Linked DNA regions of Macaca fascicularis. The protein of the gene in region 1 interacts with the protein of each later gene in a biochemical or structural test. Links are inferred from orthologs where the notes say so. Each region holds a gene or a part of one and is shown in the gene's direction. Other genes may lie near its edges.

Region 1 (3,648 bases):
GCTATCCACAGGCCTTCATTGTCAGGAAGCGATAAAGTGATTCTCACTTTAAATTAGTTCAATTAGCACTTTTTCTTTTTTAAGGCAGAAAAATGCTTTTATTCAAAAAAAGTGATTTTCTCCTTTTTGGCAACCTGTATGTGAAAAAGAATTCTGTGGGCTTTTGTTTTACCATTTAGCAGCTGTTCTTGCTTAAGAAGTGCCACTTTTCATCTCCTGAGGGAGGTCAAGCTGTTGGGGGTTAATTTCAGTCAGTTCTGTGCCCTCTTCTCCAGATGCCTTTTAAGAATGTTACGTGCATTTACATGGGGATAGAATGGAAAGAACATGATAACTTATTTTTAACTTATGGCTGCAGAATCTCTGTGTAATTGTGAGGAGCTCATTTGTGTAGAAGAGAGAGACTGGGTTTTGTTGTCGGTCAGACCTGAATTAATACCTTGGCTCTGTTACATACCAGCTGAGTGACCTTTGAGCTCTGTTCTTTATCGGTAAATACAAATAATCATATCCACCTCAGTAGTTGTGAAAAATGAATAACTTGAATTGATTGCCAAGAGGGAGGGGTAAGGCCCAGTGCCTGGAACGTGGTAAGAAGAAAGACCAAGCTGTAGTAGCACCTGCCATGTGTTGGGCGCTGTGCTGAATGCTGTCTTTGTGTGGTCTCATCTCTTCCCTACTCTCACCCTGTGAAGTCAGTATGACCCTCTTCACTTTCATTGAAGAAGCTGGTCAAAATTACCCAGCTGATATTCAATTGACCCAGGATTCAAAACCAAGATGGGGCTGGGCGTAATGGCTCACACCTGTAATCCCAGCACTTTGGGAGGCCAAGGCAGGAAGATGATGAGGTCATGAGTTAGAGACCAACCTAGCCAATATGATGAAACCCCATCTCTACTAAAAATACAAACATTAGCCGGGTGTGGTGGTGTGTGCCTGTAATCCCAGCTACACAAGAGGCTGAGGCAGGAGAATCGCTTGAACCCGGGAGGTGGAGGTTCAAAGTGAGCCAAGATCACACCACTGCACTCCAACCTGGGTGACAGAGTGAACAAACCAAGATGGCCCGAATTTTGAAACTTTATGCTCCTCACTACTCTGCAAAAATATCCATGACCACTCTTCTGTTTGGTGCCCAGATGGTACACAATGAAGTATTGAGCAAATGCTTTTAGTTATGGTTTTGGCATCCAGCCCCTTTTAGTAAATGTGCTCCAATTCACCTTTTGCTCAAAAATTTGTCTTCTCCCAGAAGTAGATTCTATTCTCTCCCATTTTATGTTTATTTGGTGTGAGCCTTTTTGTTATTGTTTCCTTTCTCTTTACAAAGGCGGAAGAGACGGAATTTCAACAAGCAAGCGACAGAAATCCTGAATGAATATTTCTATTCCCATCTCAGCAACCCTTACCCCAGTGAGGAAGCCAAAGAGGAGTTAGCCAAGAAGTGTGGCATCACAGTCTCCCAGGTAAGCAGCCCCTCAAAAGCCTCAGCCTGTAGCCTGGCCATGGTGGGGCCTCCAGGGCAGGCTCTTGGAGGTCTTGCTTTACTGGACATTCATGCCTTGCAAGTTCCATCAGCTGTAGCCTTAAAATATCAAGGTAAGCACTTGATGTATATGTGTATAAGTGAGTTTCTAGGTAAGTACTTGGCAAAACTTGAGAAGGACCAGCAGAAGGAAGAGAAGAATAAGTAGAGTACAGTGTAAAAACAGGGTTAGGGTTCTTTCCAACAAGCACTCCTTTGCTTCAAATGGGTGAGGTGTCTAAAGTGTACTAGGGAAGTTACCTGCATTCCTCATGCTGTTTTTTCAAACTCAGTCAATTCCTTAGCCATTTTTTGCCCAACCCAGGAACTTTAAGAGTCAGTGAATGGAACTAGTTGTTATATAGCCTTTTAAATGAAAGGAACTTAAATGTCTCCTCTTGATGTGCTGACTCTCTAACTGATGGAGTGTAGGAATTTTAACATGTCACTGCGATTACATTGGAATGGTTGAATAAAATGTCACTGAATGCGCCCTTCCCCCAAAGAGCAATAACCATAACAGGTGGTGTCTGTTGACTTGGAAAGATACATGATATAAAATTGTTATAGGCCTAGAGTTTTCAATATGAATATGAAGCAGAACAGTAGGCAATATTTATACGTACGTACATTTTGTCCGCTCAAAAGATCCACCCAAACTTCTTATTCAGTCTGAACCTCAAATACCACCACTGGTTTCTAATTGAGACCTATAGTGATAGTTCTGAAATCTGTCGAAGAAAGTTTTTCTTAGAATTTGGTCACATGCAGGAGAATTAAATGTACAGGTATTTCCATTAAAACTGGGGAGGGGAGGGAGTAGTGAAGACTACTGTAGTGAGAAATTTCACTTACCACTTTTCAAATGAAGCAGATGCTCCTTTATATAAACTAAGCATCTGTACCTCCTTGAATTGAATCCTGATTTCTGTTGATCCCTGCAGGGTGCTGATCCCATCAACCTGTGTTTACCTATACAGAATTAGGTCCAGTCAGAATATAGAGCTCCACAAAAGGTATTGACAATGAAGGGATTGGCCGAGCCTCCCCAACAAACTAAGATGATTTTACAGCAGCAAATATCCTTGAAAACATTCTTTCAGATAAAGCAGAAAGAATTGACTCCTTTTTAACTTGGGCCTTCCTTAGGTGCTTTGACCCAGCTGAAGGTCATTTTCAGTCTTGACAATTCTGGGAAACTGGAATGTCAGTGGTGAAATTCAAGTAGCCTAGTTTTTTCTAGGGCTATCACCATTCTTGTCCAAATCTAGACCCCTTGTCCACAAAAAAAGGGAATTAATGCTTTTTGATACTTGCTGCATGTTTCAGGAATGCTTCTAGGTATGGACCACAAACAAGGAGCAAATATTAAATCAGTGAATTTTATCCTGGAACCTTCTGCGTTTAAAGTAGAATTAAATTACTGCTGTCTGAATTCCAAGTGTGGAATTCAGAATTTCAACTCCGTGTTGAAGGTAAAAGGAATTCTCCTGGAGGTAATTTGTAGTATAGCTGGATACAAGTTAAAATCCTGATCTGTTCCCACAACCTTCACTTCCTTCATTATGGAAACTCAAGGTACAAATAGTGTGTCCATTAAAATGCTTATTTACATATTGTGTCACCTTTCCCTTTCCTCTGCCCATGCCAAAGTCATGCCATTCTTTCTTCCTCATCACATCTGTCTCTCCCCAAAGCAACTAAGCTACCATTGTTAAACAAGTCCAATGGGAGACAATATATGATATCATAGAAAGAGCATTAAGCAAGGAGCATATTTTTGACAAGAGTCAACTGTGGGATCCTAGGGAACTCACTCTTTCTTTTTGGGTCTTAGTTGCCCCATCTACTAATCATGGTTTGTTGGATCACATGATTTATTCAATCTTTCTCCTAGTTCCCAAAGCCAGGGAATACCTCTTGGACTGTATCATTATTGTCTTTTTTTGAAGTCACAAATTCTTTTGAAATCCACTAAAAGCTATTGAAACCCCATGACCCAAAACAAAGATATGCTGCCCATACACCCAAATCTATCTGAAATCCGCCTGTTGACTGTATCTCCCCAAATCCCTAAAGAGCCCCTTGTCTATACCAGAGCTACTCGAAGTGTGATCCAC
Region 2 (4,321 bases), on another chromosome or scaffold:
AGCAGTGAGATCGGATATAGGCCTAGTTCAAATTTGGGGTTAGAAGACAAATCCTAGTTTCCTCCAGACAAGTTATTCTTAGTGTCTGTGGAAGACATGTTAAAATGAAAGGATGAAGCATCTGCAAATCTTCTCCCCAAAAAAGTAAAATAGAAAGAAGTAAGCTTGCTCTCACCTCAATAATCTCTTTCTCTTCAATTCCTCTGCAGGTCACCTCCTCCCATCTCAATTTTCCTTTCTTTTGTCTGCCCTCATTCCCTTGGCAAGTGAACATTCTCTCTCTCCCCCATTGCATCTCTTAAAGAAGTTACCAGCTGGTCCCCCTCCCCCTCAGCTTGAAGCAGGGTCTGAAGCAGAGTACACATGATCAGGGAAAGGAGACAGGGGTTCTGTGAAATGCTTTGAGCTCTTTCAGAGTTGGGGGTGATGGCCAGGTGCAGCAGCTTAGGCCTGCAATCCTAGCACTTTGGGAGGCCGAAGCAGGCAGATCACTGAAGCCAGAGGTTCAAGACCAGCCTGGCCAACATGGCGAAACCCTGTCTCTACTAAAAACACACACACACAAAAATGAGCCAGGCCCAGTGGTGCATGACTGTGGTCCCAGCTACTTGGGAGGCTGAGGTGAGAGGATTGCTTGAAACTGGGAGGCAGAGAGGTTGCAGTAAGCGGAGATCACGCCACTGCACTCCAATCTAGATGACAGAGTGAGACCCCATCTCAAAAACCAAAAACAAAACAAAACCCTTTCCCCGAAAAAAACAGAGTTGGGCTAGGCCCACAATTACTAGAGAAGAGAAAGGCAGTGTGATGCTGGTGGTATAGAGCAGAAAGCAGGAGAGGCAGCTATGGCAAGGTCAAGCAAAACAAGAGGGAATGGGAGACAAAGATGGAGGGGCAAGACACAGACTGAGGGGGACAACTTTGGGGTCCCTTGCAGAGGAAGGAATATTCATCCTGCCCTTTTTGGAGTGTGGAAACCTGAGAAGTTTTGAGGGTCCTCCCTAAACCTGTCCCACCTGCTTCCCTTTCCTCTCCTGAGCTTCATTGTTTACAGAGATCACTCCCTGAACTCTTGCCCTCCTGGACTTGCCCTAGCTTCGGCCCCAGGCCTCCGACCAGGCAGACACCCTGACAGGTTACAAATGAGCGTGGGTGTTGGATTGCGCCAAACTCTTGCCCTCGAGTTGCCTGGAGGAGGAGAATCAATGAGCTCTACCTAAGGGCTTCTCTTCTAGTCCCATCTGGGTTTGGAGTCTGAGAAAGTGAAGAAGACACATCCCGTGTCCCTCCACAACAGCCACACAGAACAAAAAGGGGCGAGATGCCACTCCTCACTCCGGAGTCTTAGAATTCAGAGCCACGGGGCCTCCACCCTGATTTTCCCACTCTCTAACCAAACTCCCTTTATCAATTCTAGAAAAATCACTGAAATCTGGAGTAATCTTTAAGATTTAACTGGTATTAAATTTATGCATCTGAGGTTTGGAATTTTTTTTTTTTAGAAGGAGATGGAGGGTGGTGAAGGAGAGACAGGTAGGAGGGAACCAGGAGATTACAGGTCTCTACTAGTTTTAAACACTTCAAGAAGAGAATAAAAAATTCCCCTCCTCTTCACCTCCCTGTAAACATCACCTGGCTGTGCTTATTGTGGCTCTCTAGAGAGATATAGGGAGTTATTTAAGTCTGAGTGAGCGAGCTAGCTACAGCTATGGATGGCTAGAGAGAGGATAAATACATCTAGAGAGATGAGTTGATGGATAGGTAGGGAACGAATATAAATATGGAGAAAGATGGACGAACAGAGAGATGGATTGAGACAGAGAGAATATAAAGAGAGGTTGAGGGAGAGAAATGGATGTGTGAATGAGGACAGAACATTTATGCAAAGAGAGAGAGAGGGAAGATGGGGCATTTCTCATCCTTTTCTCCACATTTCTGTAGTCCTGCCTTGCTCCCTGAAATGCCATTTTCCCACCCCGGCTTCATGAATTCTTCCTCTAGATTCTAGATCCTGCCCCACACCCTTAGGTGTTTTTGCACCACCTCCCCCAACCGCCCTACCACACAGTAATCCATTTGGCCCAAGATAACATACCTCACCCGGCTGTCCTAGCCCATCACCCTAAGACAAATTGGAAGAAAGGAACATGGTTCGGGAGTTCTGGGCAAAGTAAGGAAGCTGGATTCCCTACCTCCGGGTCCACAGACTTGGGGGGAAGATTTCTTTGAGGGGTAGGAAGAGTGAGGGGCAGCTGGCTTGAATTTGTCCCAATCTAATAACCCAGGAGCCTATTGAAGGCCTTGGGGGTTGGGAGGGAAGGAAAGTCTTGAATATTCTCCTAACTTTTTCCCCCCTCCCTCTAGTCCCTTCTTTCCAAAAGTCTTTGAAGAAAGATGTTTTTGACGCTTCCATGTCGCTCTCAGATGGATGGGCTGAGGGTGATTGAAGTGTCTTTGTCATGCTAATGCTTGGGGGGTGATGGATGGGCGCTGGGGCTGCCAAACTCTGGCCCGCTTAGCCCATTGGCCTGGGAGAGATCACATGTGCCCCCTCACCCCCACTCCCTACCCCCTTCCTAGGGAAGCGCTGGCCCAGGCGAGCGGGCCAGGCCATGGATTCGAGCCCCAGCGCTGTGACATACTGCCGAAAGGTTGTAGGGCAAGAGGGTGTCTCCCCCAAACGGGCCGACCCTCCTGTGGCCTTGACGCATGGACTATAATAGGATGAACTCCTTCTTAGAGTACCCACTCTGTAACCGGGGACCCAGCGCCTACAGCGCCCACAGCGCCCACAGCGCCCCAACCTCCTTTCCCCCAAGCTCGACTCAGGCGGTTGACAGCTATGCAAGCGAGGGCCGCTACGGTGGGGGGCTGTCCAGCCCCGCGTTTCAGCAGAACTCCGGCTATCCCGCCCAGCAGCCGCCTTCGGCCCTGGGGGTACCCTTCCCCAGCTCCGCGCCCTCGGGGTATGCCCCAGCCGCCTGCAGCCCCAGCTATGGGCCTTCTCAGTACTACCCTCTGGGTCAATCAGAAGGAGATGGAGGCTATTTTCATCCCACCAGCTACGGGGCCCAGCTAGGGGGCTTGTCCGATGGCTACGGAGCAGGTGGAGCCGGTCCGGGGCCGTATCCTCCGCAGCATCCCCCTTATGGGAACGAGCAGACCGCGAGCTTTGCACCGGCCTATGCTGATCTCCTCTCCGAGGACAAGGAAGCGCCCTGCCCTTCAGAACCTAACACCCCCACGGCCCGGACCTTCGACTGGATGAAGGTTAAGAGAAACCCACCCAAGACAGGTAGGGCTCAGATGTGGCCACCCCTTCTCCGGGGCCCAAAGTATCTCTGCTTCCCCTGCAGTGACATGTCCTGGGCCTGGGCTGGGTTCTTCTCTTTCAGCGGCTCTGGTAGACACAGGTAAGAGCACAACCCATGTCTCAGGTCAGGTGAGGTCTCCTCACCCAGTATGTAACCGGTCACCCCAGGAGTAAGTTTCCATACACACCCCACTTCCTGATCTGTGCACCCAGCACAGGCCCAGGACCTGGTGTGCATCGGGGGATGGAAGTATGGGGAAGGCTGCTCTGGACTTGATGATCACCATGGGGGTACCTGGGTCCCTGGGAACTTTGACAACTGTACTTGGGCAAAATGGTGAATGGAGGTCCAGAGCCAGCCCCGGGAGGAGGGAAGGGGAAGGAGGAAGAGGTGAGAGAATTGACCTGGGCTTTCTCCCTGCCCCGCCCCTAGGGAAGGTGTCAGAGCCCGGCCTGGGCTCGCCCAGTGGCCTCCGCACCAACTTCACCACAAGGCAGCTGACAGAACTGGAAAAGGAGTTCCATTTCAACAAGTACCTGAGCCGGGCCCGGAGGGTGGAGATCGCAGCCACCCTGGAGCTCAATGAAACGCAGGTCAAGATTTGGTTCCAGAACCGACGAATGAAGCAGAAGAAGCGCGAGCGAGAGGGAGGTCGGGTGCCCCCAGCCCCACCAGGCTGCCCCAAGGAGGCGGCTGGAGATGCCTCAGACCAGTCAACATGCACCTCCCCAGAAGCCTCACCCAGCTCTGTCACCTCCTGAACTGAACCTAGCCACCAATGGGGCTTCCAGGCACTGGAGCGCCCCAGTCCAGCCCTATCCCAGGCTCTCCCCAACCCCAGGCCTGGGCTTCACTGGCCTGGGGATCCTCTCTAGGGCTGAAATGCCAGTTTAGAGCTGCCTGGGAGTAGGAGGGGGGATGGGGAAACATTTTTCTCAGACTTGGGTGACTGGGGGCCCTACACGACCAGTGGCCTGGGAGGCATGGAACCTGTCAAAGGTAGAGGG
Region 3 (3,648 bases), on another chromosome or scaffold:
AAAATACAAAAATTAGCCAGACATGGTGACATATGTCTGTAATCTCAGCTACTTGGGAGGCTGAGGCAGGAGAATCGCTTGAACCGGGGAGGCGGAGATTGCTTTGAGCTGAGATCGTGCCATTTCACTCCAGCCTGGGCAACAAGAATGAAACTCTGTCTCACACATACACACACAAAGATGTTATTTCTAATACCTAAAAAAGTTTTAGAAAATAAATCTATAAATTTATTGACATCACTCTGACACTAAGACCAAAGACAATACCAGGAAAATACAGGCCAGTATCCTTCACGAACTTCGATGTAAAAATCATCAGTGCAATATTAACAAATCAATTCTAGCAATATGTGAAAAGAATAATACATAGCGACCAAGTCAAGTTTTTCCTGGGAACGCCAGACTGGTTTAGTATTTAAAAGTCGATCAGGCCGGGCGCGGTGGTTCACCCCTGTAATCCCAGCACTTTGGGAGGCCGAGGTGGGTGGATCACCTGAGGTCAGGAGTTCTAGACCAGACTGGCCAACATGGCGAAACCCTGTCTTTACCAAAAAATATAAATATTAGCCGGGTGTGGTGGCGCATTCCTGTAGTCCCAGCTACTCTGGAGGCCGAGGTGGAAGAATCACTTGAACCTGGTAGGCTGAGGTTGCAGTCAGCTGAGATCGTGCCACTACACTCCAGTCTGGGTGACAGAGAGTGAGACCCTATCTCAAAAAAAAAAAATAAAAAATTTTTTTTTAAAGTTCAGCGTAGAATTACATACAAGTCAGCAGTTCTACTTCTATGCATATATATACCTAAGACAAATGAAAAAAGTCCACACAAAAACGTGTACATGAATCTTCATAGCAGCACTGCCTGTCATGGCCAAAAGCTGGAAACAGTGCCCGTGCCCATCAACTAATGAATGAACAGACATATTATGGCATCTCCATGCAATGCAATAATATTTAGCAGTAAAAGGAATGAAGTGGCAGGTGCAGTGGCTCATGCCTGTAATCCCAGGACTCTGGGAGGCCGAGTTGGGCAGATCACTTTAGGTCAGGAGTTCGAGACCAGCCTGGCCAAAAATGGCGAAATCTTATCTGTACTAAAAATACAAAAATTAGGCCAGGTGCGGTGGCTCACGCCTGTAATCCTGGCACTTTGGGAGGCTGAGGTGGGCAGATCATCTGAGGTCAGGAGTTTGAGACCAGCCTGACCAACATGGAGAAACCCCATCTCTACTAAAAGTACAAAATTAGCTGAGTCCTGGTGGTGCGTGCCTGTAGTCCCAGCTACTCGGGAGGCTGTGGCAGGAGAATCACTTGAACCCAGGAGGCAGAAGTTGCGGTGAACTGAGATCACGCCATTGCACTCCAGCCTGGGCAACAAGAGCGAAACTCTGTCTCAAAAAATAAAACAAATTAGCCAGGCGTCATGGCAGGTGCCTGTAGTCCCAGCTACTTGAGGGGCTAAGTAGAAGAATCGCTTAAACCCGGGAGGCAGAGGTTGTAGTGACCCGAGATCCGGCCACTGCACTCCAGCTTGGGCCACAGAGCAAGACTCCGTCTAAAAAAAAAAAAAAAAAAAAAAAAAAGGACTGATACCTGTCACAACACTGGTGAGCCTTGGACACATTATGCTGAGGGAAACAAGCCAGACACCACGGTCACATGTTATAAGATTCCCATTCATACGAAATGTCTAGAAGAGGCAAATGTATAGAGATAGCAAATAGGTTCTAGTCGGCTGGGGTTTGGGAAACAATGGAGAATGACTGCTATTAGATACAGGGTTTCTTTGCAGGGATGATGGAAATGTTCTAAAGTTGACGGTGGCAATGACTGTGCAACTCTAAAAACCGTTGAATTGCATACTTTAAATGGATGAACTGTGTGGTATGTGAATTTTCAACCAGCAGAGGTGTTAGGTGAAATAGTGCAGGCGTACGTGCAAAGACATTCTCATGGAGATGTAGAACGTAAATGGATTATTTTTGTCTTTTCTCCTCAGGCATCCACTATTTCCATTATTAGCTTTGTTGTTTGAAAAATGTGAACAATCTACACAGGGCTCCGAAGGCACAACTTCTGCCAGTTTTGATGTAGACATCGAAAATTTTGTAAGGAAGCAAGAGAAGGAAGGGAAACCTTTCTTTTGTGAAGATCCAGAAACTGACAATTTGGTAAGTGAAATAAATTTTATTTTTCAAAATGTGAAATATGTTTATGAAATTTTAGGCTTCTAAGTAGAACTGTAGACTGCTTGTAGTTCTGCTAAAGGACAGACTCATACAACTCTAAAAGAACTAATTTTTATGGTGTGTGTAATGTGGATATGCCCGTCTTCCAGCCTTCTCTAGGTATCTTTTATTTAGTTAGTTTTTATTTTTAATTTATTTTATTTGTGTAGACACATCTTACTGTGTTCCCCAGGATGGCCTCAAACTCCTGGCCTCAAGCAATCCTCCCTCCTTGGCCTCCCAAGGCCAAACCTACCCTTTCCTTTAAAAATCAAATAAAGACTGGGTGCAGTGGCTCACGCCTGTAATCCCAGCACTTTGGGAGGCCAAGGCGGGCAGATCACGAAGTCAGGAGATTGAGACCATCCTGGCTAACACGGTGAAACCCTGACTCTACTAAAAATTCAAAAAATTAGCCGGGCGTGGTGGCGGGCACCTGTAGTCCCAGCTACTCAGGAGGCTGAGGCAGGAGAATGGCATGAACCTGGGAGGCGGAGCTTGCAGTGAGCTGAGATCGCACCACTACACGCCACTACACTCCATCCTGGGCGACAGAGCGAGACTCCATCTCAAAAAAAAAAAAAAAAAAAAAAAATCAAATAAAACAGGCCGGGTGGGGTGGCTCACTCTTGTAATCCCAGCACTTTGGGAGGCCGAAATGGGTGGATCACAAGGTCAGGAGTTTGACACCAGCTTGGCCAACATGGCAAATCCCCGTCCTTACTAAAAATACAAAATTAGCTGGGCGTGGTGGCACACGCCTATAGTCCCAGTTACTCAGGAGGCTGAGGCAGGAGAAGCACTTGAACCCAGGAGGCAGAGGTTGCAGTGAGCCAAGATTGTACCACTGCACTCCAGCCTGGGTGACAGAGTGAGACCGTGTCTCAAAAAAAAAAAAAATCAAATCAAATAATTTGAGTCGCCATGCCAGATGGACACGGGGATTCGGTTCTCTCTGCACAGCGTTTGTAAAGGTCCGTAGGGCTGGGGTGTTCGGGCAACATGTCTGTGACCTGCGTCTGTCCTTGGTTTATCATAGACATGGACACAGACTTGAGTTGTATTCTCCAAGACAGCTCTGTCTAGAGGCTGACAGTGATTTGTGGTGCCTTCCTCCCAGGGCCAGGGCTCCAAGATCCAGCATTTTCTGTGCCCTCCGGAGGCAATGGAGAACTCCTTGGTTCCGTCATCACTGGATCGCTCTGAGCGAGCTGCGCCTGAGGCACCTGTGCAGCGCTGCCAGCTTGGTCTGGGCAGGCCACACTCTCTGGGTCTGCTCTCCTGCCAGAGCGTAACCACCGTGTTTGCTTCTCAGAGCTGGGTACATAAAGATCCGGCGTCAGGGAACCTTCACTGGATTCCCTTCGAGCCATCTTGGTCCCATATCAAAACCCTGGTTAGGGCCTTCAACAGAAAAGGTT

The links.
Region 2: the proteins of PBX1 (region 1) and HOXB1 are reported together in a solved structure, tested with the Homo sapiens proteins (2 studies listed by BioGRID and IntAct, with this or other methods). The link is inferred for Macaca fascicularis from reciprocal best matches to the Homo sapiens genes PBX1 and HOXB1.
Region 3: the proteins of PBX1 (region 1) and PKNOX1 form a complex in vitro, tested with the Homo sapiens proteins (2 studies listed by BioGRID). The link is inferred for Macaca fascicularis from reciprocal best matches to the Homo sapiens genes PBX1 and PKNOX1.

The regions. Positions count from the first base shown.
Region 1 is NC_088375.1:22,595,793-22,599,440, forward strand, and holds part of PBX1 (pre-B-cell leukemia transcription factor 1), read left to right. Parts: intron 1-1,333; coding exon 1,334-1,469; intron 1,470-3,648. UniProt on the Homo sapiens protein: Transcription factor which binds the DNA sequence 5'-TGATTGAT-3' as part of a heterodimer with HOX proteins such as HOXA1, HOXA5, HOXB7 and HOXB8. Binds to the DNA sequence 5'-TGATTGAC-3' in complex with a nuclear factor which is not a class I HOX protein.
Region 2 is NC_088390.1:58,186,832-58,191,152, forward strand, and holds the start of HOXB1 (homeobox protein Hox-B1), read left to right. Parts: upstream 1-1,493; 5' UTR 1,494-2,709; coding exon 2,710-3,295; intron 3,296-3,746; coding exon 3,747-4,075; 3' UTR 4,076-4,321. UniProt on the Homo sapiens protein: Sequence-specific transcription factor which is part of a developmental regulatory system that provides cells with specific positional identities on the anterior-posterior axis. Acts on the anterior body structures.
Region 3 is NC_088377.1:4,023,192-4,026,839, reverse strand, and holds part of PKNOX1 (homeobox protein PKNOX1), read left to right. Parts: intron 1-1,998; coding exon 1,999-2,170; intron 2,171-3,648. UniProt on the Homo sapiens protein: Activates transcription in the presence of PBX1A and HOXA1.